4 linked regions of the Ovis aries genome follow. The protein of the gene in region 4 binds, or shares a complex with, the protein of the main gene of each other region. Links are inferred from orthologs where the notes say so. Each region holds a gene or a part of one and is shown on either strand. Other genes may lie near its edges.

Region 1 (7,025 bases), on a different chromosome or scaffold from region 4:
GGAATACCAGATCATCTGACCTGCCTCTTGAGAAATCTGTATGCAGGTCAGGAAGCAACAGTTAGAACTGGACATGGAACAACAGACTGGTTCCAAATAGGAAAAGGAGTACGTCAAGGCTGTATATTGTCACTGTGCTTATTTAACTTATATGCAGAGTACATCATGAGAAACACTGGACTGGAAGAAACACAAGCTGGAATCAAGATTGCTGGGAGAAATATCAATAACCTCAGATATGCAGATGATACCACCCTTATGGCAGAAAGTGAAGAGGAGCTAAAAAGCCTCTTGATGAAAGTCAAAGAGGAGAGCGAAAAAGTTGGCTTAAAGCACAACATTCAGAAAACGAAGATCATGGCATTGGGTCCCATCACTTCATGGGAAATAGATGGGAAACAGTGGAAACAGTGTTAGGTTTTATTTTTGGGGGCTCCAAAATCACTGCAGATGGTGACTGCAGCCATGAAATTAAAAGACGCTTACTCCTTGGAAGAAAAGTTATGACCAACCTAGATAGTATATTCAAAAGCAGACATTACTTTGCCGACTAAGGTCCGTCTAGTCAAGGCTATGGTTTTTCCTGTGGTCATGTATGTATGTCAGAGTTGGACTGTGAAGAAGGCTGAGCGCCGAAGAACTGATGCTTTTGAACTGTGGTGCTGGCGAAGACTCTTGAGACTCCCTTGGACTGCAAGGAGATCCAACCAGTCCATTCCGAAGGAGATCAACCCTGGGATTTCTTTGGAAGGAATGATGCTAAAGCTGAAACTCCAGTACTTTGGCCACCTCATGCGAAGAGTTGACTTATTGGAAAAGACTCTGACGCTGGGAGGGATTGGGGGCAGGAGCAGAAGGGGACGACCGAGGATGAGATGGCTGGATGGCATCACTGACCCGATGGACGTGAGTCTGAGTGAACTCCGGGAGTTGGTGATGGACAGGGAGGCCTGTCGTGCTGCGATTCATGGAGTTGCAAAAAGTCGGACACGACTGAGCGACTGAACTGAACTGAACTGAATTGAACTGTGTATCTAAAGCAGTTTCCCAGGTAGCTCAGTGATAAAGAATCTGGCTGCCAGTGTAGGAGATGCAGGTTCAAGCCCTGGGTCAGGAAGATCTGGAGGAGGGAATGGCAACCCACTCCAGTATTCTTGCTTGGGAAATCTCACGGACAGAGGAGCCTGGCGGGCTACAGTCCATAGGGTCACAGAGTCCAGAGTCAGATACGACTGAGTGACTGAACACAAACGCACGAGTAGCAAAGTCTTATCAACAAAATAAAACGGCAACCAATGGAATGGTATAAAATATTTCAAAACATGTATCTGATAAGGGATTGATATTCATTCGTATATAAAGAACTACTACAACAACAACAATACACCTGATTAAAAAATGAGTAAAACACCTGAACAGACATATCTCCAGAGAAAACATACACATGGCCAATAAGCATATGAAAACAACATCACTAGCTATTAGAGAAATATAAATCAAAATTACAATGAGATATCATTCTACACCCATACAGATGGTTATTAATTTTAAAAAATGGAAATTAACTACTGATGAGGATGTGAAGAAATTAGAACTCTTGTGCATTTCTAGTGGTTGGGCAGGGGGGTGAAGAGGTGGGACGGGGGAGTGAAATTCCCTGGCAGTCCACCAGTTAGGACTTCATGCTTCCAATGAAAGGGGCACAGATTCAATCCCTAGTCAGAGAACTAAGATCCATCACGCAGCTTGGCACGATAGAAAAAAAAAAAAAAACCTGGCCATTTTTAGTGAGAATGTAAGTAAAGCAGTGGGGCGTTTTGGTGAAAAATATAGCAGTTCCTCAAAAACAAAGAATTATGATACAATGCAGGAATTCCACTTCTGGGTATATAAGGATAAATATTTTATGATTCCACTTATATGATATGTAGTCAAATTTAAAAAGAAAAAATTGCATAGTAGTGGCCAGGGGCTAAAGGGAGGAAGGAATGGGGGAATTACTGCCTAATGTCTACAGAGGTTCAGTTCAGCTCAGTTGCTCAATCGTGATCCGCTCTTTGCGATCCCATGGACTCATGCCGGGTTCAGTTGGGGGAGATAAAAAAAGTTCTGAATGTGAATGGTCATGGATGCACAACAATGTGAAGGTACTTAACACCACTGAACTACACTGATAATAATGGTTAAAATGGTATATTGTATGTTATGCATAACATAACACAATTTTTAAAAAAGTAATACACTTTAAAATTTTCCAGTTGCAGACTTTAAAAATACAAAATATATGTCCAGGCTCTTAACATACAAAATTGTGTTTAAGGAACTACTCAATCTTGTGGTAAAGTAAAAGTTCCAACTTACCATCTAGGAAATACCCCATTCTCTAAACTTGTTGTTTGGCTACGTCGCCAGCGTCGCTGGTAGCTGCTGGCACAACTTCGGGTAAGTGAGGAGTTTGGAGAGGGAAATGGTGTAATAAGCAAGCTGCTGAGAGATGCTGTCAAGTCAGAATAAGAACAAGTACAAAGTTAATAATAACTAAAAACAGGAACAAATTTCTTTTTAATAAATTTAAATGGTGACTCAAAATTTCCATTTTGCTGAATGAAGCTCTAAAATCTCCATTAAAAAAATATATATATCATTGTTGGAGCAAGGTCCCAGAAAAAAAAATCACATAATAAAAGTGATTCAGCAAGAGATCCTGATATCCTTTTGCCATCCTTTTTCCCACCCCACTCCAGAAGAAAATGCTATTTTGAAATAAATCTTTATTCCTTTGATGATGGCACTGTCTCCAAGCTTAGATGAACCTCTCTGCACAGGTTTATCTCAGAACACCTCATACAATAAACTAAGATTATTTTTCTCGCTAATCTCTCTATCATTAGAACCTGTGCTCTTTAAGGATATAATCTGAGTGGGTGTTTTTTTGTTTTTTCTTAAATCCTCAGAATGTTTCAATAAAACTTCGTCAGACAAATTTTGGAAGAGTAGATATCTCAAAGAAATATGTATAACACTGGTTCAAAATACCTAAGTTTCTCTGGGCAAGAGACAGTCTGACATTTTAAATCCAGTTAGGAGAAAACACGGAGAAGGCGACGGCACCCCACTCCAGTACTCTTGCCTGGAAAATCCCATGGATGGAGGAGCCTGGTAGGCTGCAGTCCATGGGGTCGCTAAGAGTCGGACACGACTGAAGCGACTTAGCAGCAGCAGGAGGGAGAAAACAGATGTAAGCAAATGTTTTTCTACTATGCTATTTAAGTAGTCTCTTGAGCAATATTATTTTTCTGACTGAGTGTGTATTCATCCAGGCCATGTTCCAACAGGCACATTTTTACTATTAAACATGAAAAAAAATTTAATTTAAAATACTTATCTCTGCTGTTTCTACAATTCTCTTGTTAGGCTAATATCAATACCAACAAACTGTACACATAAAATTAAATGATTAAAACAGATTAAAAAGGAAATCAATGTCAGGTAACAGTGATCTCATAAAAACCAGATTAACACATGAACCTATCATTACCAGAGCGTGCTATGCCACTGTCTCTGTCCTCATTCAGGTCTCTTCCAGGCATGTCCATTGGGTTGCTGTGAACTGTGAATCAAGACAAAAGTGTGACTTATAAAACACAGTGCTGTTCAGGTTGATGTTCCTTTTAAAATAGCAAACTAAATCATGCTCATCTCATTGCATTCCTTTATTTTTTTCAACAGCATGGCACAAACCCAACACCAAGAGCTATTCTTCAGTTGAACAAGCTTTGAGATCTATGTGTAAACAATCTGTGACATAATATATAAAGAAGCAAAGGGTGACTAAAATAAGCATTTTAGAAGCACATTCAATGACATGAATATATTCACAATATACTACTACATGATAAAAAGGCGAGATATTGACCAGTAAGAACAATGGCTGCTGAGGCTAAGTGATTGGCATATGATGGTTAATCTACTGTTCTGTCTATATAAATGTATGCTTTAAAGTTCTATAATAAAAATTAAGAAAACTGAACAGTATAATCCCAATTTCGTTTTAAAACAAACAAAAACTAAGGAGGTATTTCTGGTTGACAAGATGGCTAATACATATTTTTTGCCTATTTCTCGTATTTTCCAAATTTTCTATACTGTATATACATTGTTTATATTTCTAAGGAAAATACATACTAATTAAAACAGGAAGTTGGATACAACTTCCTGGATACAGAAGCATGAACACAGTCTACAATCATCTATTTAGTGATATCAATATAAAAAATTATAGTCAGAGATGCCTTTTATAGAATATAATGGTGCTTGTTCATCTGAATCTTAGCTCCAAGAGAAATCATTTTTATGGAATAGTGTAGATCAGAAATTGCACAACAACAGTATTTTCTGTGATTGATGAACTATATGATACAAAAGCTACTCAGCCATGGAAACAAGATAGTATCACATTAGAAATTCAACTGGTATTTTAAGAAATACTGTTCATACTATATTTTGGTTTAGGATTCTAAAGTTAAAATCATTATTACATAATAAGGCAAGAAATCACAAACTGAAATTTCATGTAAATGTCATTTCTACTCATAAGTTAGTTTCTGGAAACCTTAACAACATATTCAATAGAAAGATATTAAGTTCTTAACTGCACATCTTCCCCAAATGCATTTCTCTACTCTCTTGTTTCCACAGCATAACTATGAATTCTAGCCGCTGGGGCACACCAACTAGTCTACCCACACAGCACATGGCAAACCTGCAAAGAAAGAGGCGCTCCTGATCAGGCGGAGCGGACCCTGTTCAGAGAATGCCCGCCTGGGGCTGCAGAACTGTGAAAGACCTACATGGCAAAAACGTAAAATACATATGAAAGAGGGCTGTTAGAGAAGCCACAATGCGTCAGGAATAAAAGGTGAGCTAAGACAGCACAAAAGCAGACCAACAGATATGAATGGAAATCTTTAAACTAAGTAAGAATAATTCAAGCTGACTTCCTATTTTTGAAACAGGATGGTTTCCTTCTGGCCATGGCTTATGACACCATAACAATTTCATGCCTATTAAGTCCACATATAGTAATAAAATAAGCTTCCACTATGTAAGGTAAAATTATTTTATAAGCTTCCACTATATAAGGTAAAAATTATTTTAAATGTTCAATCCTTTCTCATCTAAAACAATATTTTTGAAGATTAAAAAAGCACAGTGATGTTATATATATAATTTGATATTTGCCAAATGAATTTATCCTTTAAAAAATCAATTTTAATATTATAGTACTATGTGACTAAAATTAAGAAGAAAACCACCTAAGCGCTTGGCTAAAAAAAATGTACACAACATAAAACAAAGGGCAAATAAAGAAAAGCGGTCTACTGACAAGTAAGTATGGATCTGATTTTTCTAAACTAGTGCTAAATTATAAATTAATGGGAGAAACCAGAGCTCCTAGAGCAGAGGTCAGCCACTATGGAAGCAGGAAAGCCAATGCAGCCTGTCAGGGCCAGACTCCCAGCTGCTCAAGGCAGTAGCTGCCGCACACTTGACCAAGAGAAGGCAAGAGTCTGAAGACCAAGAGAGAGTAACATTAGAGCCTGGAAGCAAGCACCTGAGTTACTTATTAGTTAGGGTTAGTCCAGATGGCCTGAAGAGCCACCTAGGAGGGTGATCCAGGACACAACTGACAGCTTTACTGTTTTAAAAAAGTGACAAATGTATTTTTAAATTGTTAACAGGTATTTTTCTATAACAAGAGTTTCTATAATTACAGTGAATGTGCAGCAATCCTTCCATGTTTCATTGTTCAGTTCTTCCTTCAACTTTTCCTATTTACCTCAAAACTTACCTGCTCTCTTTAATCTCACTCCTTACTCTTCCTTACTCTGAGTATATGACTTTGTCTCCTACAGTATGCGTATGTATATGTGAGTACACAAGAAGAATCACCATATGGGAACTCTCGTTTTCCTACACTGCTATCTCCAGACTTAATTCTTATTCATCCCTGCCTCCTTCCTGCCTGAGCGGTAATAATAGGTAACATCATTCAAGCCTTTCTTTGTGCGAGGCCTTAGTGAAAAATTCCAAGATGGGTCTCTCTCCCTCCCTTTCAAAGCTAATTCTAAATCAGCTAGACCCTTCAAAAATTTTACTTTACCAGTATCACCTCTATTTCCAACCTCATTTTCCTTGTAAACCTCCTTTTCCATCAACATTTAAATACTGTCAGAACTCTTCTCCCTTCTCCCCATATATCTAATCCTGTAGTTCAACAGTTCTTAAAATGTGGTCCAAGCACCCTCTTCGGGGACCCCTGAAACCCTTTCATGGGATTACATTTTATTACTGGTGTACTTCTCCCAACAAACTTCTCAACAACTCTTTATCCTCACTGACACACTCTTATTCTAGGTCCCCATTATGTGTCACTGGACTATTATAAGCAGTCTTCTAATATGGGTCTTTTCTCAATCCCACTGGCTCATCTGAGTCCTTTCCCAAAGCAATTAAGAATATTCTCTTGCAGATACAAATCTGATCTGATCATGTTTCTATATTCTGAAAACTCCTCTGTGGTGGCCTTGAGAATGCACCACAAAGCTCTCCAGCTATAAGAATGGAAATTGGCCAAGCACCCCAGCTGCTGTGTTTTTAAATCCATTGCCAGATTTGGGCAAGGTCACATACCCCATAGCCTGCTCCTAGTCAATGACTGAACACAGCAGGTATAACAAGGTAAAGCCCACTTTAGCAAGACATGGGTCACTTCTGACAACCATGTATAACTCAAAGACTTGTCCACAGCCTTATCAAACCTTCCCTGGACTAGTGTGGCATGCTAAAACATGTCCACTAAAGCTTTTATTCCTCTCCTTCAATTAAGGTCAAACTTACACCATAATCTGAGGGCTCTCTGAACCCTTCTCAGCTTCCTCTTCATTTCTCTCATGAAATAATAATAAATATTATTTATTAATACTAAAATCTGTGCATGTTTAATCTTATCTTGGGACCTGATA
Region 2 (7,025 bases), on a different chromosome or scaffold from region 4:
GACAAGAAACACTTATTTATGTGGTTGAAAGAATGAATTAAATTGCAGTTTAAACATTTGAAAACAGTCTGGCAGGGGCAGGGAAACCTATGTAGTGCTCAAATTGTACTTTTAAAAATACTATTTTATTTATCCTCACGTATGAAAAAACGGATATACTACCATGCATACATACATACCAATATTGGAAACAGAATTCAATAATGAATCACACCTAAATTTACAAAGACTAAACAAACATTAAAAAAAACACTGATTGGTTATAGAAAGCAGAGTGGAAGAAAAAACCATTAGCTATCATCTTCATTTCCATTAAAGACCAGCACCCTCTAAGAAGAAACAAATTCGTTAGTGAGACTCACCTACAGTGCACAACAATATATACAAATGAAAGTTAGTGATTGTACTCGTTTCATTCACTTTTCCTAGGCCACTTTATCTTCCTCACACTCAATACAAAGAAAATAATATGAAGAAAAAATATGTCCCCATTATTCACAATAAAAAGAGTCTGCCTCATTCTGCAGGCCTGGCATATGGTATAAAAGGGAGCACTTCATGGCTCAAGGGGGTCAAAGTATCATTTTGATTCTGAGCCACCAAATAGGATCTCATGCGTATTTGGTGACTGGACTAACTCCACAGGAGCTGTGATAGACTGAACCATTTCTGTGGTATCCCCAGATCTCACCTACACAAAAAAAGATAACCATCAACCCATCCATAAATTCTATCTGTAAGGCTCTTTTTCTAGAGTAAAGTGGAAAAAGGGGGTCCTTGAGTACATGGATACAAGTGTCACTGTGGCCTAAAGATTGCTGGATTGATATTGTGTCTGATATGATGAAGAAAATTCCAGATTAAGAAACTTCCACAACTTGTCTCAATTCTTCAAATAATGGAGCAAGTTCCTTTTCCAGGCTGACAATTAGTCCTAAAGCAAAGAGATTAAGAAATTTGAACATTAGAAAAATGCTCATCAAAATTTATATACTAAAAAGTAAATGAGACATAGTTCATTTTCTATAACTATACTTAAAACAAACTACTGTGATTCTGAACAAAGTAATTGAAAACACACAGTTATTATGAAGTTTACTTTCATCTATTATTAATGTAAATAAATAAAACCATTATATGTATTAGAAGATGTAAAATGAATTATATATGTGTTATACTTTTGCTGGAGTTTTATGAAAAACTTTAATTCATCTATACCTCATTATTTCAAAATTTGCACCAATTCAAGAATAATACACATGATTTTTACAAAAAAAAAAAAAAGACCTTTTCCTGACCCAATTTTAATGAACTTTATCAAAAAACAGATAGATAGCAAAGAAATAATCAGATACTTATTATATAAATTCAGTAAAGCTAAGGCACAAATGGATATTTCAAAGGCAAAAATGTTTTAAAGATGCCTCACAGGACTATAAAACACACACTGAAAGAAGCAAGCTAATCTAGAAATCAGCACATCCAGCTTGTTAGTTTCCTAGGGTAGAAGGCTATATATCTTAAATACTGCTTGTTTTTTGCTCAACTAAAGATCTTCTTGTCTCACACAGCATTCAAAGCACCTGGGATTCACAAGGAAATGTTCTACGTACTAGAATACAATTCTGGAGATTATCATAATTTATAACAACTGATGATTTTATAGTATGATAGTGATTTACCACAACTGAGGTTTAACATATTTAAAATACCGACACCACTACTATCCTATACAAAGAGTTTTCACATACAGTATTTTACGGTTGAAAACATTTAGAAATGAAAGACACCCAACAGTTCATTAAATCTAAACCCCACATTTTAAACATGAGCAATCTAAATACAGGCTTCAGTGATACAGTCAGAAACAAAACTGGCTCAAATATCTTGGAAAGAAAAAAACAGAACAGAAAAGTAAAGCAGTGCTAACAGTGGTGAAACCTGGAGACAGACCTTTAAAAAATTCCACTTAAACTAAAACAGAGTAAAAAAAAAAATTGTAATTCAACTGAATACTGTTATGATTTTACACAAAAATAGCCAGTGAAGACCACTGGATATAATGAGATCTTACAATGCTCTCTAGAAAGTACAGCTTCCAAGTGTTAGCCCTCAAATTCTTCCACTTTGAAAAAAAATTGAGTATATTCATACTAGTCACACTCTTTAAATTCCCAAACACATTTACCTTGCCCACTATTGTTCAAAATTTTATAGATCGGTCCTTATGGACCTGAATTCATCTGTGATCATTTTTATGTTTTGTTTGGTTATTTTCTCCACTGATTTTTTTTTTTTTCTGGCTTTCTGAAACTGTTGTAATGTGAGCAAGATACTGTATTAAAGAGGTGAAAATAACATTTAATTTTCCTATCGTAAATGATCACTTATCTATACATCATCTCATCTGAACTAAAAAAATAATAGCATAAGATCAAGAAAGCAGTTCTTAGCTCCATTATACAGATATAAACAATACAATATTTGTTTATATAAATAATTGTTTATAATATATAAACAATTCAGAGAAGTTATATTTCCAGAAAACAAGGAATAGATGGTAGCGCTGGGCCATGCATTAAGGTTTTCTTACTCTAAATCTGTATTCATATCATATTAGACTGTTCAGATCCGGTATTATAAAGATTAAAAGCTGTATTTAAGGTAATTAAAACATACCTGTATTAGCATTGCTGCTGGCTATGAAACTCACTACCAAAGGTAAACGATTGAATTGAACCACCTAAAAAGAGAACAAGATCTAAAGTATAATGTTATATAGTGAAAAAGTGGTATAATTCAAATCAAATATCTTAATCTTTCTAAAAACTTTAAATGTGTAAGATACTAGCTTGACATCATGGTATTACGTCATGAAAGGTGAAAGAGCTGAAAATAAGTATTTCCGTAAAACAGACTTACTAATTATCTCTTAGAGACATTAATATCACTTAGTCTGGAAAGTTTCTAAGGTGGGGCTGTGTCTTCCTCATCTTTTTTTATCTTCTAAAGCCCTGCAAAGTGTCAATTACATAGTAGGGGCTCAATAAATATTTGATAATTAAGGAGCTAAAGGCATTATTTCTCAGTCATTCAAGTGGTTATAACGTCTCAATCTTTTGCCTCCTCTGTACCACTATAATTTAAATTAACTTACATTTAAGTTAACTTAAAATCAGCTATCTTTTTAAAAAATTTAGCTTCAACCTAACCTTTACTGACTAAATTAAAGGTCAGATGAGCTGGTTATCTTCTGCCTAATAGATACTAAAATACATAACCTTTAAAATAAAAAGTAACACATATGTATCATTGGTAGTGCATGACTTACACCCTGGGAAACTCTGCTCTATGGAAAGCAGTGTATGCTCAATTGCTCAATACTGGAGTGAGTTGCCATGTCCTACTCCAGGGGATCTTCCCGACCCAGGAACTGAAACAGTGTCTCTCATGTCTCCTGCACTGGCAGGCAGATTCTTTACTACTGTGAAGAAGTTACTGATTCATTCTAAAGAAAATACAGCTGGCGATCAAGAGATCTGTAGCAACTAATTTCTCTCCCACAAATAATAACCTCATTTATTTTATATATTTATATAATCAAGCCAAAAGATGGGATTAGTAGCAATAACAAATGTAAATAACTATCGTTTGACTTTCAAGGAAAATCCTGTATCTGTCACAACAACAACCACTGTGTCATTTGAGAAATCACAGTTGTTAAATAAGCTAAGGGCACCATCTACTGGAGGTATTAATAACAGTGACCTGACTTACCCTTTTGAGGATAATATATATTTTACTATTCAATCTTTTAATCTAATTGTTCATATTAATTCCTGAAGTAAAATGTGAAAAAAAATCACTACAGTTTAACATAACCAATTTGAAGGTGAAGATGTTAAAATTCCATCACTTTGGAAACCAAAATTTAGAATTATTAAAACAAACTATTCTACAAAGAAGAGAGAATAATAGTTGAAATCATCAGCAAACCATTTGATAATTATGAACTTACCTGGTAGGTGTTATAGTAACAGATGATACTTTTATTTTTTGAAAGTCCGAGTTTGCTCCCTTGGTCTGTCGCAAGGGCAAAAGTTGATAAGAAACCAGGTCTCAAAGCATGCTCTGGAGCATTATCATTGGCCACTGGAAATACAAGTGATTTAAGTAAAAATTATGTAGGATATACAGCGAGAAGACATTTAGAGTATTTAAAAAAAAAAAAACACATAAACTTGTAGAAAAAAAAAGCACAAGAGTTACGCTTCACAATGCTGAAGTTCATAATACTAATTGGGTCTCATCAGTTTAGGTGAGAAAAACCATTCAATCACAACTAAGGGAAAAAATACTGGTTCTCACAATTTTTCAAAAAATTTCAAATGAATACTAACCATCTCTATCTTCTTAATATCTAACTTAAAACAGGTTATGATTATCAGTACAATTAATAAGTTGAATATTCTGGTTAACTATGAGCTAAGTGAGAATATTGGAAAAAAGCTTTTAACCTTTGCTCTTACAAAACCCACAGAAGCATCATTTGTAGATGATGATAATTCTACACCTGGCCACTGATTTAAGTTTTTTATACTCACTGAAAGGTCTATGTGGAGTTGGTTGTACCGTAAGTGCTGAGCTTAAGGTTTTAACAGAGATCCTCAAAAAGAACACTGGAGCTGGAAAATCTGAGATTATTTTGTTCAAAGTCCTCGTTATGGAACTGAGAAAAGGAAGTGATTTGCCCATGGCTACCTATGTTCTGTGCTGGGTTAGGAAGCATACTGGATCACATATCAGAAGATGATGGGTTCTATGACCATCTTGTCACTGACTCATGAGCAACTTGGAGCTGACAATCTACTCTTTGCACTTGACCATTTTCATTAATAAAATGAAAGAACTATATTAGCTAACTTCTAAACTTTGATTGAATTCTAAAGTCTGAAATTATCTGACATATATGATAACCTCAGGTGGAGAATATATTGTAAACAAAATATGCAGAACATTATTTAGCCTTTCTGTCATATCACATATACTTAAAAAAAAAAAAAAGAGTTAAACCCTTAGGCAAAAAGAAACCTTTTCTTCCTTTTTTTTAGGTTAACCAACTTTTCTTCAAGCAAAAATTTTTGCTAGATTCTGGTTAACTAAAGTAACTGTGAAGTTAAAAGTTTTTCAAAATCTTATTTCCAATAAGGAAGAATAAGAAAGAGTAAACAAAACAATAAATTTATGTTAATTCAAATGTATGGCTGTTTATCCTAAAACCACCAGCAATACTGATGAAAAATATATGCTGGGGGAGTCCGTGGGTATAATATGTCTCGCTGCATATATGCTCATTCTCATGATTCAGATTTACTAGTTGTTTACATTATACATAAAATGTCTTTAATGGGAAACTGGGCCTTCAATAAATCCTTACTTAAACTCTGCATCCTATCATGAAATAGTTGAGATATAATTAGATTCCAACCTATCCTTCAACACACAACCTGAATGTACTGAAATGGGTTATTTTTTGCTTGCTTTCTCTATTACCCAAATATAAACACATTTGTATTCAAAAGCAAACATGGCACTGACATGTAATTGTGGCGTTTTACCTTTGATGACAGGCACTCCATCTCTATCTGACACAACAATAGCATGGAGCCCCTCAACACTAGAAAGGAAAAGTTGATGTATTATAAAACACTGTCTCAAAATATGTACCTTCAAAATCATAATGATAATTCTCATATAGATTTCTGAAAAACCATGAGAACTCAATCACGGATATAAGCTCCTATAACATGTTTGCAAAACTCTTCCACCATAAGAAGCAAAAAAGAGACCCAGTTGCTGCCTTCCCACAACTTGCAATCTAAAAGGAGAGTGGCTATCGTTCAGATTACCTCACACAAATCTAACACTACAACTGTGAGAACTGCCATTAAGAGATGTGTGGGGCTACGAGAGAGCTTATAAAAGGAGGGGTAGATTCAGATAGATGGGTCAGGGAGGGCTTCCCGGAGGAAGTGGTACCTCAGCTGAGACGTTATGGTAATAAGAAAAGTGGAGTGGGGAGATCACTGTAAGCTGAGAGAACAGGACAGAAAGAATGGAGGTCACAGGGCAATCCTCTGAACCACGCTTACACAAGAAGGAAACAGAATGGTCAAGACCACAGCTCTGAAGTAAGAAAGACCTGAGTTCCCGTTCAGGCTCTGGTGTTTACTGTTTATGCTACCTTGCATCAATTACAAAACCTCGCTAAGCCTCAGTTAATATGAAAATGGGGATACTTGTACTCATTTGTGTGTGTAAGTCATTTCAGTCGTGTTCAACTCTCTGTGATCCCATGGATTGTAGCCCGCCAGGCTCCTCCGTCCATGGGATTCTCCAGGCAAGAATACTGGACTGGGTTCCCATGCCCTCCTCCAGGGGATCTTCCCGACCCAGGGTCTCCTGCATTGCAGGCAGATTCTTTACTGCTGAGCCTTTGGCTACTGTTAAATTTAATACAATGATGCATGCAAAGTGGAAGGTGGCTGGTAGACAATTAAAATTCAAAAATATGAATTAATACCAATGTTGTCATCTGTACACACTGAAAATAACATAATTTGTCCCTGCAATTTAAATATGAAATTATTAGTGAGAATTCCTAGAGCCCCGAAATGTTAAAAATTATAATGGGGAAACACTCAAATCATCATCATTTATACTGGGCTTCCACATGGTGCAGTGGTAAAGAATCTGCCTGCTAATGCAGGCGACACTGCCACAGTCACCCCAATCTTTAGCAACCACTTCCCAGACTGGTCAGCAGCCATCAATACTGAGGCAAGATCCTCCACCAGCAATAACATTAAGACTCATTAAAGGCTCAGATGATGGTTAGCACTTTCTAGCAATAAGGTATTTTTTACCTAACGATGTACACTGTTTTTTTAGACATCATGTTATTACACACTTAACAAACTACAGTAGAGTGTAAACATAACGTTTATATGCAATAGGAAACAGAA
Region 3 (7,522 bases), on a different chromosome or scaffold from region 4:
TAAGTAGCATGTTTCAAGCTGTTTGTGAAAATGAAACAATTCTAGCAATGGCTGCTGAGCATTGTCCTGTGAAAGGTTCCTCTGTGTCAAGAACAATGAGAACCGGCAATTTCTGAGGTAAAATCAAGTGTAACTTCAAAAAAAAAAAAAGTTGGCCAGGGGAGCAATGGAAAAAGCATCAGCCTCAGCAACAGCAGACTTAGACTGGAATCTGGCTGTCATTTGCCAGCTGTGTGCTATGAGCAAGGCTCAATCTCTCTCAAGTTTCCACTTCCTCATCTATATAGTATCTTGGGATATTATTACAAAGATGGTTAATGAGGGTTTGGCCAGTGTATAGATGAAAATGCTTGGAACCAGTGTGTGCTGAGAAAAAAAAAAAAGATTCCACAAGGCCACGGAAGGTTTTGCAGACCAAGCATCTCCACAGAACTTTCTCTCTCTAAATCCCCTTCCAATTTAAATTTTATATTATAATCATACCTGATTTGTAAAAAGGCATCCATCTTCTCTAACTGGTTTTCTCCTCAAGCAACAGCACTTAATTTTATTGATATGATTCACATACTGTAAAATTCACCCTTTTAAACTGTACAATTCAGTGGTTTTCATTACATCCACAAGGTTGTGAAACCATCATAACTCTGTAATTCCAAGACATTTTCATCATCCAACACACCTGTTGGCAGTCACTCCCCATTTCCCCCTCTGCTCACCCCCCGGCAACCACTAATTTGCTTTCTGTCTCTATGAATTTGCCCAGTGTAGACATCTCACAGATACACCCAGATGATATGTGGCCTGGATTGTCTGAGTTCCTTCACTTCAGGTCAGTTCAGTTCAGTCGCTCAGTTGTGTCCGACTCTTTGCGACCCCATGAGTTGCAGCACGCGAGGCCTCCCTGTCCATCACCAACTCCCGGAGTTCACTCAGACTCAAGTCTATCGAGTCAGTGATGCCATCCAGCCATCTCATTCTCTGTCATCCCCTTCTCCTCCTGCCCCCAGTCCCTCCAGGCATCAGAGTCTTTTCCAATGAGTCAACTCTTCTCATGAGGTGTCCAAAGTACTGGAGTTTCAGCTTCAGCATCATTCCTTCCAAAGAAATCCCAGGGCTGATCTCGTTCAGATTGGACTGGTTGGATCTCCTTGCAGTCCAAGGGACTCTCAAGAGTCTTCTCCAACACCACAGTTCAAACGCATCAATTCTTCGGCGCTCAGCCTTCTTCACAGTCCAACTCTCACACCCATACATGACCACTGGAAAAACCATAGCCTTGACTAGACAGACCTTTGTTGGCAAAGTAATGTCTCTGCTTTTGAATATGCTATCTAGGTTGGTCATAGCTTTTCTTCCAAGGAGTAAGCATCTTTTAATTTCATGGCTGCAGTCACCATCTGCAGTGATTTTGGAGCCCCCCAAAATAAAGTCTGACACTGTTTCCACTGTTTCCCCATCTACTTGCCATGAAGTGATGCGACCAGATGCCATGATCTTTGTTTTCTGAATGTTGAGCTTTAAGCCAACTTTTTCATGCCATGATCTTCGTTTTCTCAATGTTGAGCTTTAAGCCAACTTTTTCACTCTCCACTTTCACTTTCATCAAGAGGCTTTTTAGTTCCTCTTCACTTTCTGCCATAAGGGTGGTGTCATCTGCATATCTGAGGTTATTGATATTTCTCCTGGCAATCTTGATTGCAGCTTGTGCTTCTTCCAGCCCAGCGTGTCTCATGACGTACCCTGCATAGAAGTTAAATAAGCAGGGTGACAATATACAGCCTTGACGTACTCCTTTTCCTATTTGGAATCAGTCTGTTGTTCCATGTCCAGTTCTAACTGTTGATTCCTGACCTGCATATAGGTTTCTTAAGAGGCAGGTCGGGTGGTCTGGTATTCCCATCTTTTCAGAATTTTCCACAGTTCATTGTGATCCACACAGTCAGCGGCTTTGGCATAGTCAATAAAGCAGAAACAGATGTTTTTCTGGAACTCTCTTGCTTTTTCGATGATCCAGTGGATGTTGGTAATTTGATCTCTGGTTCACTTAGCATGTTTTCAAGGTTTATCTGTGTGATAGCATAGATCAGTACTTCACTCCTTTTTACAACTGGACAATGTTCCATTGTATGGATATGCCGCATTGCTTTATCTGGTCTTCAGTTTATGAATATTTGGGTTGCTTTCCATTTGGGGGCGATTATGAGTGATGCTGCCATAACATCTGTGTACAAGTTTTTGTGTAAACATAGTTTTCAGTTCTCTTAGGTATGTATGAAGGAGTGGAATTTTTAGGTCCTATTTAACTTTCATTTATAAATATAGTAACTCTATTTAACTTTCAGAGGAACCACCAATCTGTTTCCCACTACAACTGCACTATTTTACATCCCTACCAGCAATGTATGAGAGCCCCAATGTCTCCAAATCCTCATCAAGCTTTTTTATTAGTTTATCATCATTTTGCCTCACATTAATATTGCAGCAGGTCTAAAAACTACTTAAATTAAAACAAAAAATTTCTAAATGACACTCATATATTTAAAAAATTACCCCAAGGTCATTTTCTAATTATTCCTGGCAGAGAATATTCAGTATTGCAGCTGCCTTGGCTGCTGCTGCTGCTGCTAAGTCGCTTCAGTCCTGTCCGACTCTGCGACCCATAGACGGCAGCCCACCAGGCTTCCCCGTCCCTGGGATTCTCCAGGCAAGAAGACTGGAGTAGGTTGCCATTTCCTTCTCCAATGCATGAAAGTGAAAAGTGAGAGTGAAGTCGCTCAGTCGTGTCCGACCGTTAGCGCCCCATGGACTAGGGAGGTATAATGCTCTATCACACAGTTTCTTACAGAATCCCGGGACGAAAAATCGCTTTGGAACAAATTCCTGTCAGAGAGCTGCCTGAAGTAGGCACAAGAGTAGCATCTGAATAGCTCTCTATCTACGTCTTTTGGCTCGCTCAGGATTCCACTTGCGAGCCACCTAGCCTTGTTGGAGTCTGCCCCCGCCGCCCCCGTGTGCGCAGGCGCAAACTCTCAGCCCGGCCTCCCTCCGGCCCCGCCTCCAGACCCGCCCCCCGCCGACACGCCCCCCTCCTTCGCGCTCTGGGGCTAAGGGGAAGGGAGATGAATGTTCAAGAGGATGTGCGGCCAATGCGCGAGCGTCTCGGAAGCGGCGCTCCGCACTGGCAGAGTAAGTCTGATGACGTAGCCACTCTCCAATCGGCATCCTGGGGGCGGGACTAAAGTCGGGCAGGGCAGGGCCGGAGGAGGAGACCGCTGGGTGGAAGCACGTGACCGCGGTCTGGAGCCGGAACTAGGTCTGGCTACAAGCTCCCCCAGCACCTAGAGCTGCGATGGTAAGTGAGGACGCATGCGCGGAGTTACGCGCCGCGCCGGCGGTTCCTTACCCCTGTCCCCCAATCTCTTTGGTTGCGGGGTCCTGAGCGTGCCCTCCGGCCTCACCTCCTATTCTCCCTGGGACTGGAAGGAAATGGAGAAGGGAGGGGTGGTGACGTAGAAGGCCAAGGAGAAGTCGCTGGGAGGGTGTGTAGAAGCTGGGGACTAGTCTGAGGGGGAGGCGCAGGCCACAGGTGCGTTTGGGGAGGGGGCCCTTGGGGTAGCAAAGGTGACGTGTGGAAAGCTGGTGGCGCCCGGGCGGAGGAGAGGACTGACGGAGGCTCAGGAGCATCAGTGTTGAAGGCCGTGTAGAGGGAAGAGGGTCTGGAAGGGCCCTGGCTGGGTAAAGAGGCCTGGAGCGGGGGCAGGGGGCACTGTCAAGAGAGGCACTCTGGTTGCCCAAGGGCCATCCTTTCGGCCTACTGCTCACTAATTGCATCTTTACCCACCAGACTTCGGCACTGACTCAGGGGCTGGAGCGAATCCCCGACCAGCTTGGCTACCTGGTGCTGAGTGAAGGCGCGGTGCTGGCGGTGCGTTCTGGAAACGGGAGGGGGGGTGCTCCAAGTACACATGACTCTAGGATGCCTTCTAATGTTGCCCTGTTTGGCCCGATTGGTCTCTGTTCTTGTCTTTCCCTGGTATCACGCCTGGCGTGTAGGAATTAAATCAATTAATCAATCTCTGGACTCTCAGTCTTGTAACTATCCTGAGGTAAAAGAGGTTTACTGACTTTACCAAAGTCAAGCAAGTTACAGGTTTGTTGATAACTGACAATCCCCAAGTTACTCTTGAGTATGTCTTTATTTGGTATTTATTGAAGAGGCTTGGTATTTTGTTCTGTAGTACAATACAGTGTCAGCTCTAGAAGTTTTCAATCTAGCTAGAGACAAGGCTTAAGGCTAAAAGTTCAAAGTAGTGCATGTGGTTAACGCAGCTGAAGGAGTCCAGAAAGTGAAGGATTCAGCCCTTCATACTATAACTTGTGTTTTGGCAAGGAACCTTCCTTGGACGAGGTAAGAATTCATCTGGGCTTAAAAGATGGATGGATGACAGGAAAGAAAGAATATTCAGAGTTGGGAGGTGGACATTTTGCAGGAGTGTAACACCAGCCTATCTGAATTGGTGATGGGGTTATGTTGAAAAGATTTGGAAACATTTGGGGGAAGAAGAGGATATGGTGAGGAAAGGTCCGATTGTGAAGGACTTTCAAGGCTAGGTTAACACATTTGGATTAATCTTGAAGGGTTTTTGAACAGAAACAAGCTGATGAAGTGATTGAGTAGCATTGTTCTGTTAGGCGTAAAGGTAAGACAGAAGGGGCAGGATTCAAAAGCGGGGATGCTGTTGCCAAAATGTAGGTATGAAACCTCTGGTTGCAATGAGAAGCAAGGAGAGAAGGGGTTTTTAAAGGAAGAATTGGTTTGTCTTTGTAATGACTAGAGTTCAGTAATAAAGGGGATACTTTTCTATCCTGTAAGACTTTGACCTCAAGCCTAGAATGATGGTGCCTTAACCAGCAGGGACTTAAGAAAGGAAGTTGACTGGAGAGGGGGAGAGATAGGGGGGATTTTGATAGTGCAGCTTTAAACACTAAGTTTGATATAGAATAATAGGGTAAACTCCAGGAGTTAGTGATGGACAGGGAGGCCTGGCATGCTGCGGTCCATGGGGTTGCAAAGAGTTAGACACAACTGAGCAACTGAACTGAACTGAATAGCCGTTAAATAGATAATGCCAGGAGCTAATCTGAGCATCTTGCCCCAGTACTCTTGTGACACTCACAAGCACGTAAGATAGGTACTGATGTCCCCAGTTTACAGATGAGGAAACAGGTATAGAATCCAGCAGGAGGGCCACCTTGAGGAGGTAAGAAGTTGAGATCATTACCAGAAAAGAGGAAGCCCAGGCCACTGTGACGTCATTATTCAAGGGCCAGGTAGTCCGAAGGGGTTCAGAGAGAAAAGGGATGTTTATGTTTCAGGTTCTGCAGACAGGGTGACAAATGAGAAATGGGAAAAGATGGAGCCTGGGACTCTAGCTGTGGTGGGTGGGCACTAATCTGTAAGAATGTGATTTTTTTCAAATAAGTGGAGACAGGGAGAGAAATGAAGATTCAGGGATTGGGGAAACAGGGTCAGTAATGGACAGAAATGGATGAGAGTTCCTACTTCCTCAGGGAAGCCCAGTATTTTGGAACAAGATGGCATCAAGAGGGGCAACAATATCATAGGAAAGTTTTAAGTTTTTCCAATACTAGGGGTGATGTTGCAGTGTTGGAAAGTGGAGACAGGTTACACAGAAGGGTTCTTGGAGTTGCTTCCCAGTCTGTCCCTGATTCCTGCCCCCCTCCCTCTGTGTGCAGTCATCCGGGGATCTGGAGAATGACGAGCAGGCTGCCAGCGCCATCTCTGAGCTCGTCAGCACGGCCTGCGGTTTCCGGCTGCACCAAGGCATGAGCGTACCCTTCAAGCGTCTGTCGGGTGAGCCCCGGCCTCTGGTAGTGGGGAAGGGGGGTGGGGTGCTGCTCCCCAAGGCCACTCTTCTCAGGGAAAGACACCTGTCTCCTACCAGCTGCCCACCATCTCCTCTGGAATCCTTGTCTTCCCTGTGGTATTTACCCCTGTATCAGAACTATGAGAAAAGCAAGAGAAGGGAGGGGATTTAATGGAGACCTCCCATCTTCTAATCTCTGAGCTTTGACCTGTTGAATTCCTTTGGCTTTGGATCCTAGCCAGTTTGTGTGCGACCCCCACTGAGGCCCCCATAACCCACTAACTCTCTGCTCCCTTCCCTCTCCCGGGCTGGGGGAAGGTGCGTCTCCCCTCCAGTGGTCTTTGGAGAACACACGCTGCTTGTGACCGTGTCGGGACAGAGGGTGTTTGTGGTGAAGAGGCAGAACCGAGGCCGGGAGCCCATTGACGTATGAGCCTGCCCGAGGGCGAGGGGCAGAGGAGGAACCTCTGTGCTGAGAAAGATGGGAACCTCCACGGCCTCTCTCTTGGTGCCACTAGAACTAAAGCTGTCTGCTCACCGGCTTCCCCACCCTGACCTGGAAGGGCAGAGGCTCGGGGACTTTGTACTCTGTTAAGGACAGTGAAGGTGAGGGGACCTCCCTTCTTTTCACCCTGCCTAATAAACATAAGTGTGATGTTCCTGGACCTGGGGATGTGTTGTGTGTATTGGGGGAGGAGAGTCATACCCCATGTGTCTTTCAGCTTCCGGGCCCTCAGCCCAGAGGCGTGGGGTGGACAGATAAAACTGGAAATCAGAAGAAAAAAAACAAGTGGGAAGGGAGCTATTTGGTGTACAGGCTGGAGGGAATCTTTCTGAGCCCTTAGGTCTCTGCCGCTGCCACCAACACACAAGTAACAGTCTTTTTCTCCCTCCTGAACAGGCATTTAATAGTCTTATTTCAGTTGGAAGCAGTAGTTGGAGAATAAGTTACAGGGACAGACAGACCAAAAAAAAAAACAAAACCCAAATCAAAAATCCCACACAACTTAAAGTGCTTCAGGCTGCAGACGTAAACATGAGGACGAGGGGAGGCCACCTAGCTCTCTCCCCTGACCTGAGACAGGAGGGTCGTGTCATTGTTGGGTCCCTTTACCATCACCACCCTCTGATCTCAGCCCTGCGGGTGGGAGGGAGGGAGGGAATGTCAGAGGCGGGGAAGACAACGTAAGAGGAACAAGGAAAACACTTTGTAAACTTAGAACCAGGGTGCAAGGCGGGGGGCAGGGGAGCTCCTGGAGCCACTGCCCTGGCCAAGGGGTGGGGCCAGCCCCCCCAGGAAGTCCAGGAAATACTGTCGGCTTCACACTGCAGCCATCCCCGGCCATTTCACAGCTTCTTCCCTCGTCCCTCATCAGTAGACACAGACAGGCGGCTCTGTGGGGGGCCCCCTCACCCTTGGTGGGAGGCTCCCCGGGGAGGCACAGCCTGCAGGGAGCACCCGCGCTGGGGGCTGTCCATTTCCCGGAGTGTGAGAGGGAGGCGGCCGGATGGTTTACTTGACCGGCTCCACCACCAGGACCTTGCACTCGCGTTTGGCGATCTTGTCCAGAGAGAGCACAGCCTTGTCCGGGGGCAGGTAGAGGGGGCGGCCGACAGGGGAGGCCACAGGGGGA
Region 4 (7,687 bases):
GTACTCGTGCTGCTCCATGCCCTGGGAGTCTGCAGCAGACACGTCGATGATGTTGCTTTGGGGAAAGAAGAGAAAGGACGTGAACGGTGCTTCCGAGAGGGCCGAACAGACTCCCTGCCAGGTGACAACTCCAGGGCTATCTGACAATCGTGTCCTTGTCTGCCCACGGGAGGACAACTGGGCCCAGGAGTGCCTCTTCCCACTGACCTGTCCCCTGCACCCTGGGTCTGGCCCCCCATCCCAGTCTTTAACATGCATGGAGGAGCGCTGTCCCAGGCCCAGTCCTGTGATGCCCACCTGGCTGTCTTGGCGAGGATGGAGGAGAGCAGCGCCTGCTCATCAGTGCGAGCAGAGGGCAGGCTGTGATAGTTGGGCTCGGCTCCATTGAGGGCTTTGGTGGGTGGGCTGCTAGGGTCCAGCAGCAGCTTCCGCTCCTCTCGGTCCTAGGAGAGACCACAGGGGAGACATCAGCCTCTCCTCTTAGCCCAGCTCTGACCTTTAGCCGCCAAAAATATTTCTATTAGGAACATCCCAAGTGCCCAACTGTACGGAAGCGTCCGCTCCAGGACCGAGATCCTGCTTGCCTTTGGGAGCTAGGCTGGTGGTGGTCTAGTATGAGCTAAAGTGGAACCAAGCAGTCCTAGGGGCCCTGAAAAGATGGAAAGAGGCACAACGCAGGTATTTAGTCATGGCCTTGCAACTTCAGGAAATAGCCCAGCACCTGGTAGAGAAAGGATACTGGAGGCTGGAAACCAGAGAAGGTGGAAAATACCAAAGCAGTGGGGTCTAGATGGGACACTGATATAAGTCAGGAGCCCGAGTATGGCCCTTCTGATCCCCCAGACCAGATCCTCCCTGGTCAGACTGTCTGCTCCCAGAGGCCCTGTGAGGCCAGACAAGGCCTTGGGCCCCAAGGGAAAGCAAGCTCAACCTCTCGATAGCCATTTCTCATATTATCTCAGGAGTCCCAGCTGCAGGCTCTGGGTCCTGCCATCCAAGAGTCCCTTCTGAGGGTAGGCCCCTTCTACTCTCAGGCGTTCACTCTCCTTTCCTCTTTGCGTGGGATTCCCACAACCTAAATCGGTGCTCCCAGAGTGCCTTTACGGAGCTGCTCCTGCCCTCGCCAAGCCGCCACACCTTTGTGAACGTGGCTTCCTTCGTGTCAGCAGTCCTGTTTCTGCCGGCCTGTGCCAATCACCACAACCCCTGAACTGACCTGAGACCAAAGCAAGTCTCCCGGGTCCTATATAATGCTATGTGTTATTTCTCCTCAGCTTGTTTTAGTCCCTTGATCTAATCTACCGCAATCTTTTTGAATACAACCCTGCCTTGAGCCCATCAGCTGTAAATCCCTGCTGGCTTTGTGTCAGCTGCAAAATGGATAAGCCATCATGCTGCGTATCCAAAGTATAAAGAACAAGGGTACCCAGGATGATGCCAGGGACAAGGGGCCACCCTGGCTAGAGCTGACTCATCAGCCTTCAGTGCCAGACCACCAGACTCCTTAGTGCTCCATTCCAGGCCCATCTCAGTTCCTAGTACAGTCTTTCACACTTGCAGGCTCCCAGCTCCCCTGCCAACAGCTCCTCAACTCTCCTTACAGAACACACTTCCTCCTGCCCCAACCTAGGCAAGGTCAGTCCTTTCACATTACTCTTCTTTCTCAAGCCTAGGCTGCCCATGTCCTTTGTTCCCAACAGCGTGAGACAGAAGCTCTAGGCTCCTGCCTCATCAGCTCCCAACTCCTTTAAACACCCCCTGACCCACCTAAAACACAGGCTAAGTATTAAAGAACTTGAAAGACAAACTGTGTGCCAAAGATTAAACTATCTCTAAGGAAAGTTGGCTCCATAATAAAGCCTGAGTTGCTTTCTATATGTCCATCTTTTCCCCAGCCCCACTTCAGACAGATGCTCCTGCAGGACAAGGCCACTTCTCCCCTATCCGGGGTCCTTCAAGAACAAGGCTGTTATGGGTTTCAGTGGTAAAGAATCCACCTATCAACACAGGAGAGACAGGTTCGACTCCTGATCTGGGAAGATCCCACTTGCCACAGAGCAACTAAGCCTATGCGCCACAACTACTGAGCCTGTGCTCTAGAGCCCAGGAGGGCTCCGTGCAACTACTGAGCCCAAGTGCTGTAACTACTGAAGCTGGCATGCCCTAGGGCCAGTGCTCTCCAGCAAGAGAAGCCACCACAACGAAAAGCCCGCACACCGCAACTTAGATGCTGCTCACCACGACTAGAGAGAAGCCCTCACGGCAGTGAAGACCCAGCACAGCCAAACAAAAGGAAAAGAACTAGATTCTCTTCCTGAGCCCTGAACTCATTGAAGAGGCCATGCTACTACCGTTAGAGTGGACAAATAACATCGCCCCCACCCCCAAAAGGGTGAATGTAAACACGGGAGGGTTTTTCACACCAAGATTTGTCCTAAAGTCAGCATCAACCTGGGAGGAGTTTCACCATCTTCTCTTCATAGACATGTATGTGGTCTGCCTATGACTAGCCACCTGGTCTGTGGGCACAGCCAGAAGACACTGCTTAGCACAATGGATAAAGACAGGCCTTGGCAGCAGAACACCTTGCTTGTAGCACTTCCCAGTTTTGTGTGTGCATGTGTGTGTCTCCTCAATCGTTCAGTCGTGTTTGACTCTTGAGACCCCATGGACTGTAGCCCACCAGGCTCCTCTGTCCATGAAATTTTCCAGGCAAGAATACTGGAGTGGGTTGCCATTTCCTGCTCCAGGGGATCTTCCTGACCCAGGGACTGAACCTGCATTTCTCACATCTCCTGCAATGGCAGGTGGATTCTTTACCACTGTGCCACCTGGGAAGCCCTCTGTTTTATAAGCTTGGCTAAATCACAGCCTCTCTCAACTTTTTCTTCACCTTTAAATAGACATAACTAGAACCTATATAACAGATGTTGGACAAGAGTTAAGCAAGATAACTGTAAAAGATCTTTGAAAACTGTAACATAATGTACCTTTCTTTTTATTATTATAACCAAGAGTCCAATATGAGAATGGGAGAGAGGCCTGCCCAAGACCTGAGAGAGTGGACAGTGAATGGTTATGGCTTATAGACTAGGCAAGCAGACCTCCACCTGAGGCCTCAAATCACCCAGGACAGGGATTTTCCTGGCAGTCCAGTGTTAAGACTTTGCCTTCTCGGGAAGGAGGTTCAATCCCTGGTCAGGGAGCTAAAATCTCACATGCCTTTTGGCCAAAAAGCCAAAACATAAAACAGAAGCAATACAGTAACAAGTTCAATAAAGAATTTTAAAATGGTCCATGGTCAAAAAAAAAAAAAAAAAAAAATCACCCAGGACTGATCAAGCACCATCTCTGGGAGCTAGGACCAGAAGTGAAACCCATCAAGGGGAAGGTGTAGATTCAGAAAAGTAGAAATTCCAAAAGCTGGTATCCTTTCTCACAAAAAGTTAACCTTTGACTCATTCTGTGCAAGAGTCCATTGTTATACTTTAGGGGACAATTTCCCACTAGGCCATAGCTTTCCTAGTAGAAACGAGTATTATCTTCAATTTCTTACCAGAGGTGAAGTGTGAAGTACTGCCTGGATGGCATCCCTAAGATAAGGCATATATGTTCACTGGGTGTTTGGAGACTTAGTAAGATCCAGGGGCCACCCGTGCCTCCCATACAAATGACTTTTTCCCAAGCTTAAGTCTTTGACCCAAAATAGATTCATGTGAGTCACTGGGGAAAGACCTACTTCCCCTATACCAGTGACATAATCCATTTCTGTGACCATCTACTTCTCTAGACTGTGAACTACTTGTTGAAATCTTTCTACAGTTTTCCTGTCAATATGTTTTGAAATGTACAATCCAGGCTCAGTGGCAACCAAGACAGCAAGTGAGACTTAGGACTTAGAGCAAACTTGGGACTTCTTGAAAAGGTCTTGCCCTCCTCAAAAAGGTTAGGCAGGCAGGGCAGGGATTAAAGTGTAGCAAGACGTGAGACTACACCAAGGGGAAGAGGCAGAATTTAAAACTGTACAGGCCGCCCCAACCTAACCCTTTCTGCCAAGGAATCAGATCTACAGCTGAATACCCAGAACACCCCTCTAGGTACAGGAGCCCGCAGGCCCCAGGCAGGGACTGCACTGAGGCAGGCCAAAGTGAGCTCCCATCCCACCTCTCTTTCCCCGCCATCTAGCCAAAGCTAAACCCGTTTTGTTGCCTTCCAAATTCCCACCGTCTCAATGCCCTCACTGTGTCTATTAAATCCTTCACTGATCAGCTCAAATGACACCAACTTCCAGAGGCCTTCCCTGACTCCAAACCAGCAGTGACCTTCCTTCTTCAACCCCAAGGATTCAGAGTATACAAAGATTTCTGATTCATATCGGGGCAACATAATTCAAGAGCCTCAGCTTACCCACCTCTACAATGGGTTCACAAAGCCCATTAATACAAGCATAGAGAAGGCACAAGAAGCTGGGAAGGGAGTTTTTCCCAGAGACGGAGGCTGAGGACCCTTTAAGTTGTAAACGTCTGAAAGTAGGGGAAGGGGCAGGAGCGAGCGGGACAGGCGGCCGCCTGCACATCTTAACGTGGGGGGGTGTGCAGAAAGAACGCGGGCTTTAAAAGGAACAGGAGCCCGGCTGGCGTCTCCTCTGTAATCTGTCCCCTCCGGGCCTCCGTACTCAGTAAGCCCTGCAGTCCAGGTGACCCTCTTCTGCACGCTTTTCTCTGGGCCCCATGCCCCAGGATCTCAGCCCTCATTCCCGAGCCCCGCCCGCGGCGGCCGCACCTGGTCCGAGTCCTCGTTCTCGCTGCTATAGCAGCACCCCATGGCGGGGGTCGGGCCGGGCGCTCAGGCCGCGCCGAGGAGGGACGGCGTCCGTCACGAGCCCTTCCGGTCACATGACCGGCACCAGGATCCAGCAAGTAACCACCGCCCCCGTGCCTACCCCTTCCCGGAGCGGCTTCGCAGCCGTGGCTGCCGCCAGAACCCAAGCTTCCGGCCCCGCCCCTACCGCGTGATCATAGCCAGCCAATGGGAAGGCACACCCTGCGTGACAGGCCGTCAGACACGTGACGCAAGGAAAGGGAGGGGTGGGTCACATGACTTCAGCTTTTGCAGGTCTCAGCTGGAGACGTCCACTGCGGGGTGTAAAAGTTCTTGTGTGAAATGTATGAGTTCCCGAGGCCACCAGGCTATATTTGTGGGCTAGTGAGTGAATTTATACCAGTTGCGGTTATGAAATACTCTCCTGAATGACATTAGAAGGGCAAGTGGAATCCAGGCCCTACGCTCGAAGAGCGCAGTGTGGGTACACACCCATAGGGCCTAGTTGGCTGGCGCCAGGCCCGGGCGCACACAGCGGGTGTGGCACCCAACCTTGAGTAGGGCTCTGAGACTTACTGGAAGAAGGGACTTTATACCTTCACAAACTGAAGCAGAGTGGAGCTCAATCCTGGTGGCGGAGGTAGAGGCCACCTCACTGATTTCTTTGGCCAGAGGCATTTCTTTTCAATCCTGCCTTTTTTACATCAGAGCAATCTAACACACTTCACTTTCACTTTTCACTTTACTGCATTGGAGAAGGAAATGGCAACCCACTCCAGTGTTCTTCCCTGGAGAATCCCGGGGACGGGGGAGCCTGGTGGGCTGCCGTCTATGGGGTCCTACAGAGTCGGACACGACTGAAGTGACTTAGCAGCAGCAATCTAACACACAAAGCTCATAGTCAGTGGTTAGAACCGTTACACATCTTCCCTTGGACTCTGAACACAAGTCCAAGACTGTCGTGCAAGATCTTGCAGATCCTGCCTTTCCAACCACAGGGAAATACTTAGGAAGCTTGACCAGATTGACTTTCTGGTCTTTTCACCCATGGGCTGACACACTGTCTCCCCAACCTGGTCTGCTTGCCAAAAGTCCCGATGTTCATGGAGCACGCATTCTAGGGATCACGTTGTATTGTATTCTCTGTCCCTGTATCAGTCTCTTCTACCAAAGGTGAAGTTCCTGGGGACAGGGACAGGATCTGACTTTTTTCTGTGACTCGATCCTTAGCACTGGCTTAGAATTTGGAATTAATAAATTACAAGCTCCCAATCACCTTGGCTCACACCATAACCCATGTCTTGAATCAAGGGGTTGGAGGAAATGTCACCAAACCAAGTAGTTCTGTTATTCCCTCAAATCAAGGTCCTGGAGTTCTGTAAGTTCTTTGAGGGATCCTGAAGGGTTGGAGGCAACTCCAGCACTTTCTGGGGCTGGTAACTTGAACCACAGGTCTCAGGTAACAACAGCAGCCTCAGCATCAATAATTGAGAGCAAGTCCAGCCTGCCTTAGGGTTCTTCCTCACCCCAAGGACTCCCCCTCCTGTCCTATGCTCTGATCTTCCCAAGCAGGAGCCTGCAGCCCAGGTAAGCAGGGCCCTGGAATGTGGGTTCCCAAGCACACCAGTTCAGATTCACCATCACCCACGTACTTATGGGCTTCCCTTGTGGCTCAGCTGGTAAAGAATCTGCCTGCAATGCAGGAGACCTGGGTTTGATCCCTGGGTTGGGAAGATTCCCCTGGAGAAGGGAAAGGCTACCCACTCCAGTATTCTGGCCTGGAGAATTCCATTGACTGTATGGTCCATGGGGCCGCAGAGTCGGACACAACTGAGCAACTTTCACTTCACTTCAACTATCTATTAACCCCATTCATACATGCTTTTTAGTCACCTCCCTCCCTCAACTACCACCAGTGGCCTCAAAGGGGTAAAATGGTCCAGGGCACTGGAGAAGACAGGGTCCATGGGGATAGAGGGGTGGGTGTCTCGAGATGAGGGAGAGAAAAGAGGCTGAGTTAGGGGAAAGTGTGTGCTGTGTATCTATGTGACCGTGAAGGGAATTCTGAGAGAGGACAGAGGAGGGGAGTGCAGGAGAGGGGAGACAGAACTGGAGAATAAATATGCCAATCAAGGACCATTCTCACCTTCCAGGGAAATGCTGACAGAGGGAGAGTTCTGTGGTGGTAAGGATATCTCATCCTAACACACTATGGAGTATTTTGATGGCCTTTTACTGATGCAGAGCAGTGACAGTGAAGGAGTTCCTGACTACAAAGATGTGCTATTTTGCTACACAGTAATGGGTCAGAGACCAAGCAGGTGCTGGGTAAGGTGGCAGGAGAACTCAGACAGGAACTGGTGAAAGGGGTCCTGAAAAGGGAGACTACAGAGATGATACAAAACTGATGAAGGGAGCAAGGTGAAGATGAACCAGGGTCCAGAAGTGGGAAGAGATGGTTTGGGATTGGGTGCTGAACTTAGGTGGCATGCAATCCTTGAATGTCTATGGGCTTGGAATCAGACCAGCTTGGATTCAAATCCTAGTTCCTGTGTGATTCTGGGCAATGAACTTAGCCTTTCTGAGCCATGGTGTGTAAAATACGGGGATAATTGCCACTTGTAAGGGCTACACAAATGACAGGCAAATGACGTGTGGGTTTCGCTCCCTTCCTCCACCCCAGGGCCCAGGTAGGGACCATGTCCCCTGCCATCGCGCTGGCCTTCCTACCCCTGGTAGTGACATTGTTGGTGAGGTACCGGCATTACTTCCGACTCCTGGTTCGCACAGTCTTGCTCCGGAGCCTCCGAGATTGCCTGTCAGGGCTGCGGATGGAGGAGCGGGCCTTCAGCTATGTGCTCACCCA

Evidence for each region.
Region 1: LAMTOR1 (region 4) and FNIP1 share a complex: the UniProt entries of both Homo sapiens proteins name them as parts of the lysosomal folliculin complex. The link is inferred for Ovis aries from reciprocal best matches to the Homo sapiens genes LAMTOR1 and FNIP1.
Region 2: LAMTOR1 (region 4) and LAMTOR3 share a complex: the UniProt entries of both Homo sapiens proteins name them as parts of the ragulator complex. The link is inferred for Ovis aries from reciprocal best matches to the Homo sapiens genes LAMTOR1 and LAMTOR3.
Region 3: LAMTOR1 (region 4) and LAMTOR4 share a complex: the UniProt entries of both Homo sapiens proteins name them as parts of the ragulator complex. The link is inferred for Ovis aries from reciprocal best matches to the Homo sapiens genes LAMTOR1 and LAMTOR4.

Annotation. Positions count from the first base shown.
Region 1 is NC_056058.1:20,550,729-20,557,753, reverse strand, and holds part of FNIP1 (folliculin-interacting protein 1), read right to left. Parts: intron 4,847-7,025; coding exon 4,763-4,846; intron 3,611-4,762; coding exon 3,539-3,610; intron 2,498-3,538; coding exon 2,362-2,497; intron 1-2,361. UniProt on the Homo sapiens protein: Binding partner of the GTPase-activating protein FLCN: involved in the cellular response to amino acid availability by regulating the non-canonical mTORC1 signaling cascade controlling the MiT/TFE factors TFEB and TFE3.
Region 2 is NC_056059.1:25,126,110-25,133,134, reverse strand, and holds part of LAMTOR3 (ragulator complex protein LAMTOR3), read right to left. Parts: intron 5,678-7,025; coding exon 5,619-5,677; intron 4,153-5,618; coding exon 4,019-4,152; intron 2,744-4,018; coding exon 2,680-2,743; intron 935-2,679; coding exon 861-934; 3' UTR 1-860. UniProt on the Homo sapiens protein: As part of the Ragulator complex it is involved in amino acid sensing and activation of mTORC1, a signaling complex promoting cell growth in response to growth factors, energy levels, and amino acids.
Region 3 is NC_056077.1:36,679,511-36,687,032, reverse strand, and holds LAMTOR4 (ragulator complex protein LAMTOR4), read left to right. Parts: upstream 1-3,294; 5' UTR 3,295-3,349; coding exon 3,350-3,352; intron 3,353-3,844; coding exon 3,845-3,925; intron 3,926-5,757; coding exon 5,758-6,060; 3' UTR 6,061-6,223; coding exon of another isoform or gene 6,224-6,321; 3' UTR 6,322-6,553; downstream 6,554-7,522. Other genes in the region: TRAPPC14 (trafficking protein particle complex subunit 14), read right to left, coding at 7,402-7,522. UniProt on the Homo sapiens protein: As part of the Ragulator complex it is involved in amino acid sensing and activation of mTORC1, a signaling complex promoting cell growth in response to growth factors, energy levels, and amino acids.
Region 4 is NC_056068.1:50,457,281-50,464,967, forward strand, and holds the start of LAMTOR1 (ragulator complex protein LAMTOR1), read right to left. Parts: upstream 4,898-7,687; 5' UTR 4,825-4,897; coding exon 4,783-4,824; intron 444-4,782; coding exon 298-443; intron 56-297; coding exon 1-55. Other genes in the region: TOMT (transmembrane O-methyltransferase), read left to right, coding at 7,521-7,687. UniProt on the Homo sapiens protein: Key component of the Ragulator complex, a multiprotein complex involved in amino acid sensing and activation of mTORC1, a signaling complex promoting cell growth in response to growth factors, energy levels, and amino acids.